Linked DNA regions of Daphnia pulex. The protein of the gene in region 2 binds, or shares a complex with, the protein of the main gene of each other region. Links are inferred from orthologs where the notes say so. Each region holds a gene or a part of one and is shown on either strand. Other genes may lie near its edges.

What was found.
Region 1: telomerase Cajal body protein 1-like (region 2) and H/ACA ribonucleoprotein complex subunit 2-like protein share a complex: the UniProt entries of both Homo sapiens proteins name them as parts of the telomerase holoenzyme complex. The link is inferred for Daphnia pulex from reciprocal best matches to the Homo sapiens genes WRAP53 and NHP2.
Region 3: telomerase Cajal body protein 1-like (region 2) and H/ACA ribonucleoprotein complex subunit 4-like share a complex: the UniProt entries of both Homo sapiens proteins name them as parts of the telomerase holoenzyme complex. The link is inferred for Daphnia pulex from reciprocal best matches to the Homo sapiens genes WRAP53 and DKC1.

The regions. Positions count from the first base shown.
Region 1 is NC_060026.1:11,295,005-11,299,614, forward strand, and holds H/ACA ribonucleoprotein complex subunit 2-like protein, read left to right. Parts: upstream 1-2,146; 5' UTR 2,147-2,279; coding exon 2,280-2,460; intron 2,461-2,521; coding exon 2,522-2,594; intron 2,595-2,660; coding exon 2,661-2,892; 3' UTR 2,893-2,971; downstream 2,972-4,610. Other genes in the region: eukaryotic peptide chain release factor subunit 1, read right to left, coding at 1-186, 261-390, 530-720, 791-941, 1,000-1,127, 1,190-1,365, 1,489-1,568; exportin-7-like, read right to left, coding at 3,287-3,386, 3,455-3,845, 3,917-4,055, 4,115-4,237, 4,308-4,396, 4,475-4,604. UniProt on the Homo sapiens protein: Required for ribosome biogenesis and telomere maintenance. Part of the H/ACA small nucleolar ribonucleoprotein (H/ACA snoRNP) complex, which catalyzes pseudouridylation of rRNA.
Region 2 is NC_060026.1:14,513,846-14,520,194, reverse strand, and holds telomerase Cajal body protein 1-like, read right to left. Parts: upstream 3,519-6,349; coding exon 2,959-3,518; intron 2,901-2,958; coding exon 2,764-2,900; intron 2,718-2,763; exon of another isoform or gene 2,670-2,717; coding exon 2,565-2,669; intron 2,463-2,564; coding exon 2,330-2,462; intron 2,199-2,329; coding exon 2,089-2,198; intron 1,865-2,088; coding exon 1,723-1,864; intron 1,493-1,722; coding exon 1,285-1,492; 3' UTR 1,148-1,284; downstream 1-1,147. Other genes in the region: diacylglycerol kinase delta-like, read left to right, coding at 4,238-4,375, 5,563-5,673. UniProt on the Homo sapiens protein: RNA chaperone that plays a key role in telomere maintenance and RNA localization to Cajal bodies. Specifically recognizes and binds the Cajal body box (CAB box) present in both small Cajal body RNAs (scaRNAs) and telomerase RNA template component (TERC).
Region 3 is NC_060025.1:6,908,006-6,914,180, forward strand, and holds H/ACA ribonucleoprotein complex subunit 4-like, read right to left. Parts: upstream 3,685-6,175; 5' UTR 3,609-3,684; coding exon 3,596-3,608; intron 3,400-3,595; coding exon 3,260-3,399; intron 2,990-3,259; coding exon 2,773-2,989; intron 2,717-2,772; coding exon 2,601-2,716; intron 2,407-2,600; coding exon 2,157-2,406; intron 2,097-2,156; coding exon 1,936-2,096; intron 1,872-1,935; coding exon 1,632-1,871; intron 1,566-1,631; coding exon 1,462-1,565; intron 1,402-1,461; coding exon 1,257-1,401; intron 1,198-1,256; coding exon 1,060-1,197; intron 994-1,059; coding exon of another isoform or gene 991-993; exon of another isoform or gene 888-990; coding exon 831-887; 3' UTR 762-830; downstream 1-761. Other genes in the region: chromatin complexes subunit BAP18-like, read left to right, coding at 54-102, 168-228, 292-393, 461-734; eukaryotic translation initiation factor 4E type 2-like, read left to right, coding at 4,144-4,172, 4,237-4,312, 4,440-4,492, 4,559-4,763, 4,829-4,981, 5,042-5,178, 5,267-5,309.

The DNA.
Region 1 (4,610 bases), about 3.2 Mb from region 2:
GTTCGGGCGTTAAGTGCAGAACTTTGGTCGCTTCCGTACCGGGAATCTTGAGCATGTAGCGCATAATGTCCAAATTCTCCCAACAAATGAGAATTTCAACAGCGCCAAGTTCCAGTGCTTTCAGCGTATCGTCGACACCAAAGCAGTACTTGCCCGTATCCTGGCTGATTTCATCAAAGTATCGACCTACGTGAGAAGAAACATAACACCACCGTTAGGTTAACACATAAAAGGTAATTTAATCCAAAAAAACAACTAACCAATCAGCTTCTTTTCCTGGATAAACTTCACATTGGCAAGACTCTCTGCTGCAAGCTCGATTGCCTGGTTGAAGCCGTTTTCACCACCGTAAGAGATGTCGACCATCTTGATAATTTTGACTTGCAATCTCTATCAAAAGAAAGAAACCAGTTACAACTAGCGGGAATGAGAAAGGTAATACCAATCATGGAACTGAAATACGAGATTCTAGTCAGAGACCAAAGTCCAGATGATTTCGGTTTGTGAAATGTAATAACTGCTTGCTTACCGGATCGAACATATCCGATTGAGAGAGCTCCGTCTTGAAGTCAGCACTTCCTGCTAAGATGAGGCCTGCAGCCGTCACCTTATCGTTGGATATGAACATTTGAGTGGCTACCTCGGCCACTTTACGGACGTAATTGTGTCGCTTTTCCATACGTAAACGGGCGAAACGCAAGGCAGACTGACCACCACGTCCTACATAAACAGCGTCACATGAAATTATAGAATTCACAAAATAGCACCAATAATTAGAAATGATGCTTACCGTGCTTTTTGGGTAATTCGACAGTAAATTTATGTAAAACTTCTCTCGTGTTTCCTTGGAGTGTTCCAAACAACGCCCCGTTACCATCCATAATAATGAAACCAAATTTGTTATCGTCAGCTAACAATGCTGTCAAGGCTTCTGTATGGAACTGAATTCACTCATGATTTATCTTTGAAAACCTTAAAAATAACAAAAAAAAACCATACCTTGTTGTCACACAAATACAGTGATGTATTGATGGGCTTGAAAGGCTCAAAATCAATGTTCACTTTCTTCTCTTTACCCTCTTCTGTGACAATTGTTCCACAATATATGACCAAACCATTAGGGGGTACTGGCAAATCAAAGAAAATTATTAAGGTTAATCAAGAAACAAGCATAAATAACAACACATACCTTTGGCATACAGTTTTAATCTCTGTTGGACAGATGTGATGGCACCCAGGACAGAGAGCCTGTTTACTCGAGATTTAATATTGGAGGCAGTACCGAATTCATCAGCCAACATTTTGCTGATCCGAGCAATCTGATCTTTAGGAGGGATGATGAGCGAAATCATGCTTGTACCATTTCTAAAGAAGAAAGTGTTTCATTAAACTTTATTCACTTGTTGAGCAGTTGTTAAGCAACAGCTTGACATGCCCTGTCAATTACTGCCATAATTCTGAGACATGTTATCTCATGAGGCAAATTACCCTCTTGCAAGTTCCAAGCTTTTGATGAGTTTTTTGATCTTCCAGATCTCAACATTCCTATCTGCAGAGTTCTCCTCCATGACACTGGTTTAGGGGCTATAGGAAAGCAGCAAATAGATGAAACCTGAGTAAACCAATTACAGTTTAAATGAAAAGGTATAGTTTGTTAAAGTGGTCTTTATAGACGGTCGGCATGACAGAAAAATAGGAATTTGTCTATGACAGACGTGGTCACATCGAAAAACATGGCGACGACAGCTTTCTCTCAATATGAAATTCTTCATTTGCTCTTAAACAAGAAAGACAAATAGATAATTACCTCACTATAAAAAACAAGTGGGAATCTTTGTCGTGGACGAAAAAAAGGGTTTATAAAAATTACACGAGTTGCTCACGTAAAACACTTTCTCAGAACACCGCTTCACACCAGCACATGGGTCGTGGATTCCGTGATTTCGATATCGAAATAATTACAAGTAGGCTACGAAATCGATTTGATATTGGTCCACCAATTTGTCAAAATTTACCCAATTTTAAGTTTCCTATAAATTATTTGTCAATAAGAAACTATGAAAAGTATTATTATCGGCAGCATTTTTTAGTTTTTTATTATAAATGTCAAGGTTTCAGTTTACAAGTTGATGCTACGAGCTATTGGCAACGTCTAAATCCAGACGACGCGAAAGTCAAGAGCTAGGCAAAAAAATCGACGAGCTTGAAAACCACACGTGCTCATACTACCGTAGCTACTGCATTTAAGTTAACAGTTTAAATTTAAAACAAAAAGAAAAATGGCCAAGAAATCAAAGCAGGTTATCAAGGAAGAAGAAACCGATGCCATGGAAACATCACAGGTCGAGGGAAAATCAGACAAGAGTAGCTATGATGAGTTGATGAATCATGTCAGCATCATTGCTAAACCAATGGCTAGCAGGAAGCTCACTAAACGGATCTATAAACTTCTTAAGAAAGGTTAGTTAATTTTTTGGTTATATTTTCATTCAGTAAGTTCAAATATGTTTCTTGCTTCTAGCTGCCCCACACAAGGGATATGTGAGAAACGGCCTCAAGGATGTACAGAGAAGAATTCGACTAGGTGAAAAAGGGTAAATACAAAAAACAAAATCTTGTGATATTCTTAATGTGTTAACAAATTATTTTTCTTTTTTCAGGTTGGTCATTTTTGCTGGTGATGTTACTCCTGTAGATATTATGTGCCACATGCCTGCAGTGTGTGAAGAAAAGAATATTCCTTACATCTACACTCCATCAAGACTTGAACTTGGTCATTCTCTGGGACTGAAGCGAACATCTTTGATGGTGCTTATCAAAGAACATCCTGACTATCAAACTTCTTTTGATGAACTTGCTGCTGAACTTAAAACCATCCCTCCTCAATGTTAATGAATTCCTCTTTCATCCAAGCTCCTTCATCAGTCATACTAATTTGACATTGAAAATGATTACACTTTTTCAGAATTTGGATGCTTTTTTTTCAGAATTCACATTTTTACTCCATACATCACTGTCGACTCATTTCCTCATCTTGGTTACACAGAAAGTAAAGCAAAAAAAAAGTGACTTGGGTGGATGTGATACAAAATTAGCCTTGTTGCAAGCAAAAAACAACAAAAAGGTGGAGCATACGAAAGTGGGTTCAATACTTTCATGCAACACTGATACGCCTGTGAAACATTCCATGATGATAACTTGGTGTGGACTCTTCACTAATTGATGAAAAAGATAATAAACGAACGTCATCCGCGAAGGAACAAGAAGTTCGATTGAATGAGGTTTGCTAAGTCATCATGTCGTTGTTGGATATCAATGGGTTATTCACTGGTCCTTTCAACGATTCGTTAACATCTCGCCGGAAGAGTGATAGGTTTTGCGTAAATCTGAAATTTGTTGAATGAAGAAATATAGAATAATAACTTTTAAAAGGAAACAAAATTTACAAGTTTACCTGTCTCGGTTTTTGGCGGTGACATTCCTCTCGATTCCGTCCATCAAGTTGTCGAACCACTGAGCCATAAGGCTCTGCTTGTCGACTGGCTGACTGCGAATGATGGATTGACGCAATTGGCCAAAATAGTCTTCGTTCAACAAAATGAGGCCAAGCAAAGGACGGGACATGGAATACTGATTTCGGCATTCTTCAAACATAACGATGTTCAAGATACAACTCAGCATCTGTTGCAGTAGTTCTGGTCGGATTTCCATCAAACGAATGAGTTGCGCACCCTGCTGCTGTTCTACAACCTTTCGAGCCTTTTTGCCTTTAGCCGTCAACTGGCGAAAGACGTAGGTTACGATATGATCTAGCGTATTGCAGCAGCCCGTGCAGATCATGGTATCTATTGGTGGAATTTTCTCGTTACATTGAGTTCGATTACCATTCATTAAAATATTTACTGTTCAAATATACCTAGTGCAGTGAGGCCTTCTTGGACAGTCGAGAGAATGTATAGGAAAACATGCGGCTCTAACGAGCTGAGAAACACCATGTGATCTTGAGCAAGACACTCCAACAACACATAGTAGGTCTGACTCAACTTTGGATAAGCCTATTTACAGAAGTAATATTTAGATACTGTAATGTTAAACCAATAGGGACTTTACTTACTAAGAGATCACTTTGTGGTATAGACATGAGCATTTTGACGAAAGTGCCAAGAGCGTCGTCTAGGGCAGTATCGCCATAGAGACGGAAGACTCCGAAGTTAACATATCCGCCACACAAAGCTGCCTGTAATGCAGGTTTACATACGTTAGAAAAAAAAAGTTTCTTTTGAGAGACAGAATAAATTATTGTTCACCTTAAGCAGAGAAAAACACACTGAGATGCCTTTAAATTTTGCAGCGTAAATTTGTTCTTTGGGCACTTCAACACTCAAAATTCGACCACCTAAATGAAGGAATGAAACCGCAATTAATTTAGCTCGATCATAATCCCCCCCCCCCAAAAAAAAAAAAAATGTTATACCGTATGAGCAGAGAACTTTTGAGGCCTCACGGAATAGTAGGACACCGTTCGGGGAAGTGGAATCAAATTGCAACCGTTGACTCCGATTTTGCACCAACTCGGCAAAAAGCTTCAGCAATGGACTTGTCACCTGTTC
Region 2 (6,349 bases):
GACAAGAACTCATATCGTCCATCAGCTTTATTTCAAAAAAAAAGGAGGCAAAACCATTCCGTATTCCGGCGGACTAAAAAGGAAAAAAAAAAGACTCTCACCTTGTTTAAAGGGCCGTTAATGTGGGTAAGAAACATTTGAACGAGAAAAAAAGGTAATTGGGTCACTTCTCAAGTGAACATTGCAAGGAAGAAACAAGAGAGAAAAAAGTGGGAAAAAATTGTTTATGACAGCGGTGGTCTACGTACCTTATTGTGCGAGTTGAAATCGCGAGAAAGTTTTTTCTTCTTCTTCTTCTTGGAATTTTTAGTTTTTATTTTTCCGGTTTAGTGAATTTTCCGAGTCGGGGCCAAAATGGGAAGTACTTCTATCTTCAATATCTGATGATAATGGAGTTGTAATACATGTGTACGTACCCGACTTATAGTAGAAGAAAAAACACATATCCCGCCGAGTGTGCAATAAGCAAAGAAATAAGAAAACAATACATTATTCGCCCATAGTACTGTGCAGACACAACATTAGACATTAGATATATATAAAACGTCAGCAGTTGTGCGCAGGGTCCTGCTTGTCGGCTAGCCCCGAATAAGAACAAGCGGCAGATGGTCTAATTGCGACGTTGGAAGTTCGTGCTCGCCCCCAAACTCGAAAAGGAAATTATGTGTGCCCAACAAAAAGCACTTTTGTGCGTGCCTGTTTAATGCAATAACCCAAGTTGTTGCCCAATCATTAATTAGTTTCTGCCCCTTGCAGGGCATCCCATTTTTATTGCCCGATCGACGTTTGGCTTTTCTCTTCCAAAAAAAGACAAATGGCGTGGATTAGCGAAATAAAAAAGAAGTTTCACTCTATCGGCTCAAAAGAAGATTCTCTAATTTTAATTCCTGTGGAAACCGATAAGCCTTAACCAACTAAAAAACCGCGAGAATGTGGCGGGGTTTTTTTTCTTCTTCGTCCAAAATCCTCAATGAACGCTTTCTATCCCTACACACACCAGCAGTTCTCGATTCACTCTTGATCTGAAGCTCCGACGGCACCAGATTCGCCGCTCTTAGCGTGCGAATTTTGTCCTTTGTTTTCAATTTTGGTGGATTCTTTTCTCTCATTTTCACTTTGTTTTCTCTTAAGCTACGACACACACACGTTCCATTCTCGACTTTTATTTGAAATTTTAGGCTTTACATTAGAGGAAGAAAATGAATGACGGCCGCTGTTGCATGTTCACATTAGAAGCGACCATTTTGTCAGAGAAAATTTGACAGTAATGTCAGTGTATGGTAATTACGCCTCTTGGTGGTCGGTGTTGTAGTTGCCGGCCCACCACAGCTTGACAGAGTTCTCCCTCGATTGGTGCCGTGCTGAAGGCTCGTCATCGATTTCACAGTCGGACGACTCGCTGCCGCTACTGTCGTGAACTGAATCGTCGAGCCGACAGGTTAGATGCCGCTGGCCGGAACTAGTGGCCACTAAGGGCAGCCATGGATGAAAGCTGAATAATTATGCAAAGAATAGAAATTTAGAAAAATAAGTCCAAAAATAATAATCAAATAGAATATGGGGGAGCTAATGATCGCAGAGAAGATAATAATAAAAAAAAAGAGTGAAAGTCATTGACTTGGCCTCAAGTGCGGACTGCGTAATAACTCTTTTGGCGTTGTTGCATCAACAACTGAACACGACCAAACGGCCTTGCGATTCAAAATTAGTCGAAGCTCTCACCTGACACCGTTCGTACAGTCGTCGTTCACTCTGCAACGAAACCTTTCCGGCAGCGATTTCATGGACAACAAAGGACTTTCGCTAGCGCTCGTTTCCACTCCCATTTGGGTGTCCCAAATTGTCACGCAGCCGCTCGTGTCTCCTGTTGTGGGAAAAATAAATAAAAAAATTACAATAAAAGAAAAATTGGAAACACACAAACGCAGCGGCGAAGGCAAGGTAGTAGGCATGATTATTGTATGCATATTCTAAGCCCGCCCTCCCGGCTTCTTGGTGGAAAAGCCGATTAAACATGGAAGATGCGGCGCCATCATGGCGTAATCCAACGAGTTCTTTGGACCCGATTCGGGGAAAGTTTTGCCGTACCACTGATGAGGTAATGCCCGCTGGGATCCAAATCGAAATAGATTCGCTGGTTCGTCTCAACCGTCCTGTTCATAGTGTAGAGCACCTGACCTGGATTGCGTAGATCCCAACTGTGCAAAGAAACAAACAAAAAAAAGGGGTAAAAATTTACGTACGTCTACTATACTCGTAGGGGTTTCTATATTTATTATCATTTTTTATTGAGTCAACTAGGAATTGGATAATATACGTAGATACGTACCATAGTATCTCCGGATCTTTTCTTCCTCCACTGTACAATACCATACCGTCGGGAGAGAATTTGAGATGAGTTACGCCTCCTCGATGGCCCTCCAAGACACACAGGGCCGTGCCTTCAGGCTCCGAATACAATCCTGTGTAATATGTGTGAGTGTAATGATATGTAACCGCATCCAGTCGTTTGGTTTCGTCATTACGTAGGATATCACTTCAGTTATTATGATTATTATTATTACCGATCGTTTTCAGATAACTAGCAGCCGCGTAAACCGAGGGAAGGGCCGCGTTCACCGCGATGCACGATATAATTCCCGATTGGCTTGCTGACAATCCATCGGTAGCTGGTCGATGTCGACATACAAAATGAACATGATTACGTATACAACAATGTATCAAAAAAACTTTCGTTTAACCGAACTGAATTATTATTCTCACATTTGGTCAGACGGATTTGGCAATTTCTGCCTGGCACCTGGACGTCAAAGACACGAACGCACTTGTCAAAACCGCAATACAATTTTTCTCCGTCTGGACTGATGCACAAACTGTTGGCTGCTTCTACTTCGTCGACGCTTTCAATTCAAATTTTAAAAAAATCTCAAATAATTAACAAGGGTTTTTATTTATTACTTATTGTAAGCTCGGTATGTGGCTGCCAAACTTCCTTTGTAAGCATCCCACAGGTGAGTTGGACTGCCTTTGGATGAGCTAGCCAGCAGGCATGTTTCTGGATTCCATGAAGACATATGGGGGTGCCAGCAGTAGTCATAGATGATTTCTCCTTCTTTGATCCTCAAAGATGGTGAAAGCTCAGTCGTGGAACATCCCTGGAAGGTTGTCTTGTGGCTGTTGTAGAGATCAGCAGGCAGATCAAACAGCCTCAGAAGGCCGTCATCAGCACATGTCAAAAGGCACGTTCCATCAGGTGACCATTTACAACCTTTCAAAAATCCTTGTGATTTGTTATTTTCAAATTCCTTTTTAGTTCCACAAATTAGTGTCCACTGCGTATCAAACTGATACTCAGGATAGTACACCGGTTCGGCAATTGTTTCCTGAAGTGCAACCTCCTCAACAACCACAGCTTCCTGCAGTTCGACAACGCCTTCAACCACGTCTTCTTGTAACACACTTGGTGGCTCGCCATCATGAGCCATTTCACTTGAAACCTCTTCCATTGCAGATTCCATCACTTTAGAATATCATGAAGGTAAAGCAAGAAGCAACAATTTAAAAGAAACCACGTGATGTTGTTGATGCAACAAGAATTTTTAAATATTGACATTTCAAACATTGTCGTCTGCAACAGCCGAAAAGGTTTGGCAACCACCAACTAGAGTTGCAGAAACTTTGTTTACTCTACTGCAAATAAAAAGTAGCCACTTTCATATAAAGCCGACCACAATGTGCGTATTTTTGCCTTATCAAATTACGTAGTGGGAATTTCCCTGAATTATTTCTTGAAAATAAATTCAAGAAAATCGTGTTTTCACAATATTTTACGTGCCATCTAGCGGCGGCCAATTAAGACTGAATGAATTTTCATTATCATATTGCAGGGCGTTTTGGGATTCGGCTGCTTTCCCTCTCTTGCCTGTTACTTTCAGTCTGAAAAAAAGTTTTCGACAAATATCCCATTGAGAAGCACTGGGGAAAGAAAAGGCAAATGAGTTGGGCCTCCTGATCGCAGCTTGGAAAGATTTGCCCGTGGAAGGTTCCATATGGTGCCTGATGGTTTGATATTATGTTTTACGGGGTGTTGTGCTTGTTTGTCGCAGAGTAAACAAGAAGGTTTCTCGCCATCATTTCACCGAGGTGTCGAAACCTTAAGGAAGCGAAGTGGCCAACCCTGCCCCATTTCTCTGGTCATAGGAGAGTCTAGAAAGCTGATCACCATCTCTTCAGTCTTATGGCGGCAAATGAAACTACCATCTCCACGAAGCCTGTCTCAGCAGTGGGTGATGACTCCTCTGAAAGCGATGGAGAGACTGAGCCAGCCAAATCCTTCCACCGCAGATTCTCCACCAACAAGAACATCAAATCATCGGTAAATAAGCATATTCTTCTTTGCAAATTAGCAGGCTTTTTCTTTCAGCTGTCTCGACAATCAATGGCAACACAGAATTGTAGCCCACCCAAGCAGCTAATCACAGCCAGACTGATGCGCAGTGAATAGATGGAAATGCGAAGAACAAAGACACAGAATATTGCACTGTCTATTGTTGAAGCTCCCTATTGTACCGACAAGTAGGGGGAAAGATAAAAAATGTGTAAGCAAAGGAAATATTAAAATAGTGAGACATCCCTTAATCCTCATAAAAGATGGCCATTGTCTATATATTCGCATTGTACTTTTTGAATTCTGGGCGTCCAATGTTACAGGTAATATAACATGAAGCGATTCATTAGGCAGCGTGAGATTTCCAACGCCCATCATGTCGACCGCCTTAGCGGCGAAGAAAATAGGGAGTTTCCCTCCCTCGTGATTTAGCAACAGTGCAAAGCATTTCGGCAAATCCCCTCTCTCTCTCCCGCCAAATCCGGCATCCAATTATCGATCTCCTTTTACCCAACGTGCAGAGTAGTACCCTAGTAGTATACAGCTGCGGTGATTCAGCACGAAAGAAAAACACACACTCCCCCCACTAACAGCATATTTTTCTTTTCAAAAGAAAATTGTCCATCTTTAAAAGTCTTCCAGCATCCTTCCTCGTCAAAGTTTTTGAGGTTGGCTTTTAGCCACGGAAGCATTGGGCCCGTGGCTTTTGTTCGCTTCCGCATGGGTGCGTGATGAGCCATAGAAAAGGGGGGAGGCTTGTCGGGGGAGTAACGAAAAAAGCCCTCTCTTCCACACCCCCATCGGTTGGCCTAGTTTTTCGTTCGTTCCCTTTTTTTTTTATTCCCTCCCGGGCCTATGTGTACATATACATACGCGGGATTTCCACTCGGTATCGATCCTTGGACCTAAGCCAACAAAGCCGTCGGGTCGTGTCTGTCCGTCTCGTCAAATGAAAAGTAATTGTTCCCTTTTTTTCCTTGGGATCCCTTCAATGGGTAGCTAGCTGCGTCCTTCCCTGTCCAACTCTTTAGATTGAATGGGCGGCGGCCCAGACTCTCCTAAAACATACACGCACGCACACACATGGGGCTTGTCACTTGATTGCGAGTGTCAGCCCATTGACCTACAACCAGTTCCCACCACCACTAGTCTTCATATCTTTTTCATTGTCACAGGTCTGCACTCGCGAAGGATTCCTCATGAAGCAGACGTCGTCGTTCCAGCGATGGCGCAGACGATACTTCAAACTCAAAGGGCGGACTCTTTACTATGCAAAGGATACCAAGGTATGCGTATACACATAATTTATCAATAATTTATCGAGCTCACAGCCGAAGACAAGACAGGGTCAGAAAAGACTGAGAGAGTGAGAGAGAAAGTGAAAAAAAAAGGAAATCGATCTGCCCTCGATCCGGTTACCCGATCAACAACCACCAACAGCACATTCCTTTCACCGTGTGTCGCGCTTTCACTCCTTTTTGTTTTTCACGTTCTTTTATTTCTCTCTCTCTGTTTGTATCTGTTTTATTAATTCTCTTTATTATTCCTTTTTTTTTTGCGTTGGAGAGTAACATGGTAGGGTGCCAGGAGCCATCGATCTGAATCCTTTTCTCTTTTGCTTTTTTTTTGCCTGGTTGTGTGTCGGCCACTCCTTTTTTGCGTAGTGCACGAAACGCCTGTTGTTGGTGTAACCCGTTGCACATCGACAACTGCCGGCCGAGAGTAGTAGTAGTAGTCTCTTATTGACAGGCGTACAGCCGGGGCTAGGGTCCTTGTTGTTGTCTGAACAAAATCGATAATACAATCTGGCAGGTGGTGGCGCCAACGGGCAAATCTCCATGCAGATCCATCGGAGAACATCAGCTCTTCTCGGGGGAGAAGATTGAAGTACCAGTTGTTTGATTTTTCTTGTCACGGTCTATTGCAGTAGAGCTCCCATTTTTTTTTAAATTTCCCGGGGAA
Region 3 (6,175 bases), on a different chromosome or scaffold from region 2:
AATTGACTTTGTGGTGAATTTTCTGGGTTAGTTGTTTGTAAAAGTGCACAAGAATGAACTCTGCTAATAAGGTTGCCGATATATTTGGAGCTGCAGGATTAGGTAAAATACACATGGTGTATGTAGGTAATTGTTGAATGAGTGATTTCAGCCATTATTTTTCTTAGCTTTCAGTACGTTGGGGAAATTGACCATGCAGCTACATTCCTCAGAAAATGCCAATGCTGGGTAAATAATTTAAAGTAATTTACTTTTGTAACACTGTTGTATTTTTAATTTTTTCTTATACAGGTCAAAATGGAGTGAAGATGAAATTGAAATGTTGAGAAGTTCCATTAAGCGCTTTGGAGAAGATCTTGAAAAGATTTCTGAACATATTAAAGACAAGACAGTGTAAGTTGATTGCAAAAATCATATGTCAGTGTTCAAATTTCAAATTTTATTTGCTTCTATTTATTAGGACACAAATTCATGGTAGTTTGAAGAAAAAAACTTTTGAGGCAGCAGGTATTCCTTTGTCCAAAGTCATCAGCCAACCAGTTGTTCAACCAAGTCCACTCCAGAATATTAATTCAAGTCCTCAGCAAGCAGTTGTAGTTGTTCAACAACAGCCCCAAATGATTAATAACAAGTCAACAGCTGAAGTGACATTGAACATGTTAAATGCCTCTGAAAATGAAGTTGATGTTGAAGGGTTAAATTTTGAAGGAGCAAATGAAGTTGTCACATCTTGAAACTTTCTGATAAATTAATACACAGCATAAAAATGAAATGAATTGTATTTTCGAATTTTCTTGCAAACATAATATTACAAATTATTTCAATTATAATTAATCATCTTCCCGATCGACATCTTTCTTTTTCTTTTTTTTCTTGGCAGACTCCTCCTAAATAGAAATATGTTCACATTACTAATGCATACCAAATTACTCGGCGAATAATATTTGCAGTATGTTTTCATTTAGGTAATTTTCGTCAGAAATATTCCGTTCACTACTTTCATTAAATAATCACGACACCTTTGTTTAAAAAAAAAATTAATTGACAAGTTTAATTTACCTTGATTGTTGATGTGTCCACTGCAATTGAAAGGTCTTCATTTTCAGCTGTTTTATCTTTCTTCTTCTTTTTCTTCTCTTTGGTTTCAGGAACCGATTCTACGGTGGCATCAAGAATGCTTTCATTACCCTGCGGCTCCTGAAAATCATCCATAAATGATTAAGACATCATTATTTCACAAGAGTATAAACACTTACCCGGTCTTTGTCCTTTTTCTTCTTCTTCTTCTCCTTGGTTTCCGTCATGGATTCTGACAACGGATCAGCAACGGCGCTCGTTTCACTTAACTTTCTTTTTCGTGCCTCAGCATCTTCAGTTGGTTCAACCTTTTCTTTTTTAACGCTACAGAAAAATATAATATTATTGAAAAATTTGATACAAATACTGCGTTGAATTACATACTTTAGGTCTACATAAGATGTCAACCAATCTTTAGGTGTCTTGTCATTAGGTTTGCCAAACTTATCCAAGAGTCCCTGTTTCACCATACCCTTCTTGACGGAAGCCTAAAATTAAACAAATACATACATATACATACAAGTAACGCCAATGTAAACTATATCAATTTTTACTTTAGGTCCAAGTCCCCATTTCCTGGGATAAGTGTCACGCTCCATGACAACACGTTTAATTTTGGCAACAATACCATGGTCACATGAAGCCATGGTTGTTGTCGTCATCAAAGCAATGGCGAGAGCCACTGCTTCTCCTTTGGTTGTTACTATAACAATCTCTTCATTTAGTTCGATACCATTTTCGTACCGCAATACACCAGGCAACATGATTTTAGCTCCATAGCAAACGGCATTAACCTGTTATATATTTTTTTAACACATTATTATAAAGAATATTATAGATAAATATTAACACACTTACAGCACTGTCTTTCATGATTATTCGCTTGTGAGACATCATCAATGCCTCTAATGGACGAATAACCCGCCGCAGATATGTTTCGTCCTTATGATTATCATGTAACCACTGCGCATCGATTACATCGTGCATAGTCATTAACCCTTCTTTTTCACTTTGGATACCTTATAAAAAATAAAATCTTCATCTTAAGAACACACACAAAAAGAAACTTCCTGGCTTACCAGAACGAACTCTTCTGAGTTCCGCCATCTGAGCTCCTACGCCTAGCACCAAACCGAGATGGACACAGTGGGTACGAACGTAAGTTCCGGCTTCACAGCTAACCCAATAGATACCCATTTGTCTCTCGGCATCGTACTCGTAAAATTTACTCTCGTAAATGGTTCGCACACGAAGTTGTCGCTTAACAGCCGAGATCAGTGGTGGACGCTGAAACAAAGCTCCAGTCAACTTCTCAAGAGCTCGAGGAATCTTAATAAATAAAAAAAATATATACAAAATTAGTATTTATAAAGATCAAGTTTCTAACTTAAAAAATTAACAGAATTCAGTTAAATGCTTCATTATCTTTAATTATCTTCAGTCATTTCAGTCCACTACTTTCGATAAATTAATCATTAGCATCTTTAGCATAAGGCTTTCAACTAGAAGGGTCAAGAAACTACCTGATTGTTATCTTCAACTGCAGAATGAAGCTTAAATATGGCAACATACTCTTTGCCAGCTCCCTGCTGAGATTTGACCAGCCTTGTAGCACGATCAATGCAAACAATCAAACACCCTGTATAATATTCAATTAGTAAAGTCCATGGGATTTTCTGAGTGCTATCAACATACCTGTAACTTTAGGGTCCAATGTTCCTGAATGACCCGTCTTTTCACATCTTAGAATCCTCTTAATCCAGGCAACTACTTCGTGAGAGCTTGGGTTAGATGGCTTGTCAAGATTAATAAAACCGCCATGAATATAATCTTTAATTGGCCTCTTCAATGGTGAACAACCACTTGGAAGAGGTGTATAATGATTTGTCCTTGTGTTTAACTTGTCAAAATTCTGAAAAAAAAAGATGATTTAGAAAATGTTCACATTTCTTAATAAATAACAAGGGAAAAATTAATATCTATAAAGATCAAGTTTCAAACTAGAAAAATTTTAAGAATTTAGTTTTAAATGCTTCATTATCTTTGAGTGTCTTCAGTCTTTTCAGTCCACTACTTTCGATAAATTAATCATTAGCATTCTTAGCATAATGCTTGTATAGATAGATACTAAAATAAATTATTTTGAGAACATCTACATTTAATTTAATATTTAACAACATACCTTTAGTAACAGCGGCCATTGTGAACAGTCCAATTTTGCTACTGGTTTTTCTGATGGCTCCAACACAAAGTCTGAATCTCCTTGAATATCTCCCAAGGACTTTCTTGACTTCTTTCCACTTTGTTTCTCTCCTAGGACTTCTGAAACACAGGAATGCTAACATTAACCGACACGTGTTACCAACATTAATCCGTAGATCACAGAATTAACCAAATTAATGTAAATTTCGAATCATACTATTTGTGCAGCAAACTACAATGCATCTTTTCCATGTGAAAACACATAATCGATCCCTATAACTAGCTTGTAAAATTTATATTATGTGATGGCGCTTACCAGATGAATGCATCGTGCTTCACACGTGGTTCGAAGTCCTGTCTTTGATCTAATGTGTTGAAAAACCTCTGCTACAAAAAAAGAAACCAATGAGCGGAAGTGTTGAGCGTTGCCATTTGATTTTTGATTCTTATTTTTGGAAAAAAATTAATCACGAAGTCACTTTTTCTGCTATGACATGTATTTCCAATATTTTACTTGATTTTAAAATTCAATGGTTCAAATTATCTCTTTATTACCATTACATTAGAAGTTACAATAACTATAACATCTTTCTCCCGTGGGCCGTGGCGCTTTGGCTTTGGGAAGGGTACTCTAGTGTGTGGCGCCAAAACCTCTTGAAGGTCACCTGGTGGCAACTGGTGGCAATTTTTCGCTACTCTATAGTGTGGGTACTGTTTAGTGTTTTCACCATCTAAAATTTGTACAACATTTCTGGACATACTGCTTGTTTCTTTCTTTAGTCTTTCTACTACATGCTGCAAATTGGTGTATAAATTAAGTGAACAATTTGACTGTAACACTCCGATTTCGTAAACTATTTACAAATGGCCCTTAATAACAATAAATTTGATGCGTAAGTTTTCAAATTTTATACATGTTTTAATAGAATTTGCGTTTACTTTGTTGCTTTTCGACAGGTTGAACAACAGCGAAGACAGTGATGACGACGAAACTTCATTCAGTGAAGAAAGAAAGAAAAAGGATTTAATTTTGGTGAGATATTAACTGCATAATACACAAAAAATTATTGTAATATCTATTAACTCTATGTTAATGATGTGATAATTGCGATAGACGAATTTATGTGCTCACTTACCCATTTTTTCCTACTAATTTAAAGGTTAATTTTTTTCAGCAACCCATTCAAGTTCCTCGAGAAGAACATCCACTCCAGTACACATGAAAATGATATTACTTTTATTAGTACATGTTAATTATAGAAATACCATTTGTTTTTAGATACACATACTGTTTGTGGTTTAGTCGGAGAGCTCCTGGAAAACATGCAGCACCCCAAAGCTTTGATCAGAATCTAAGAATGGTTGGACGTTTTGCTTCTGTAGAACAGTTTTGGTCATACTATTGCCATCTGGTCAGGCCTTGTGAACTCTCTGGTCACAGTGACTTTCATTTATTTAAAGATGGAATCAAACCAATGTGGGAGGTTGTATTATTAAATAATAATAAGGGTGGTGAAGTGTTTATTAACCTACTTTTTTTTCCCAACAGGATGATGCCAATCGTTGTGGTGGTAAATGGATTGTGCGTCTTCGAAAAGGTTTAGCCTCACGTTGTTGGGAGAACTTAATATTAGCTATGTTAGGCGAACAATTTATGGTAGGCGACGAAATATGTGGAGCTGTCGTCTCAATTCGATTTGCTGTAAGAAAAATGTTTTTTGTGTTAAAAATCATATAATTTATATAAATATATATATTTTAGGAGGATATTATTTCGGTATGGAATCGAATTGCAAGTGATCAGGCTACTACCAACCGAATTCGAGATACACTTCGTCGAGTCTTAAACCTTCCACCGAACACAATACTTGAATACAAAAACCACACGGATTCTCTAAAGTACGGAATGGTGGTCTCGCCATTCAAATGAGAATTCATAATCTTTTTCTCTTTCTTTCCTCTACCTCTTCTCCCTTCAAATCTCCAGGGACAATTCCAGTTTTCGGAATACCGATGTCTTTGTCCGATAAAGACACAATATTTTACATCTCAAGCGGAATATAAATAAGTTGAAAGTTGACCTGGTCACGGTGTTCATTACCGATACTGTTATTTCTAGCTTTATAAAAGTTTGATTCAAATGTGTCTAACATTCTTCGTTGAATAATCTCTAAATACGAGTTTATTCAATACTTTTATGGAAGAACCAACTTAAGCGTCAAATGTTGTAATGATTACTTATTAGCTTTACACTGTAAAGCATGGGAGCTTGTGGTGAAACTATTTGTTGTTAATTGATTTTTCCTCAAAACCACACATTTGACAGACGGTTGATTTATTAGCTTGAGATGCTACTAACACGGAGTAGTACATTCAGCCTAGAATTAAGAAATGCGCTAGATTTTTCAGGTGAGAAACATGCGTAATGTATGTGGAATAGGGTGATGAACGGTTATATTAAATGAGAAAAGTGGAAATCAAAAATCAACATCCATTGTAGCTCACCGCTCGACGAACGTCAAAATTTTGCTGGTGATACTTCGATTCGGAATTGTAAGTAGTGATTTACGATAAACAAGGTTTCACGGTGAAATAGATTGCGAAATATAATACTGAAATTAACAAAAGAGGAAAATGGAAAGCAACCTTACTTATTTAACATCAACAAATTGGCACACGTCGAGACACCGAAATACGAATCAAATGTAAACAAACAAAAGGACGATGGCGGACCATCGCAAAATAATAAACAAAATTTTAAACCACACAATAAATGAACTATAATTTTATATTATTGTGAATGTAAACATCGTTGCAGTTGTATCTGTATAGATTAGTAGAATAAAAATTTTGAGCTCTACCAAGGACCATATATGTGCGGCCGAGAGCTGCGGAG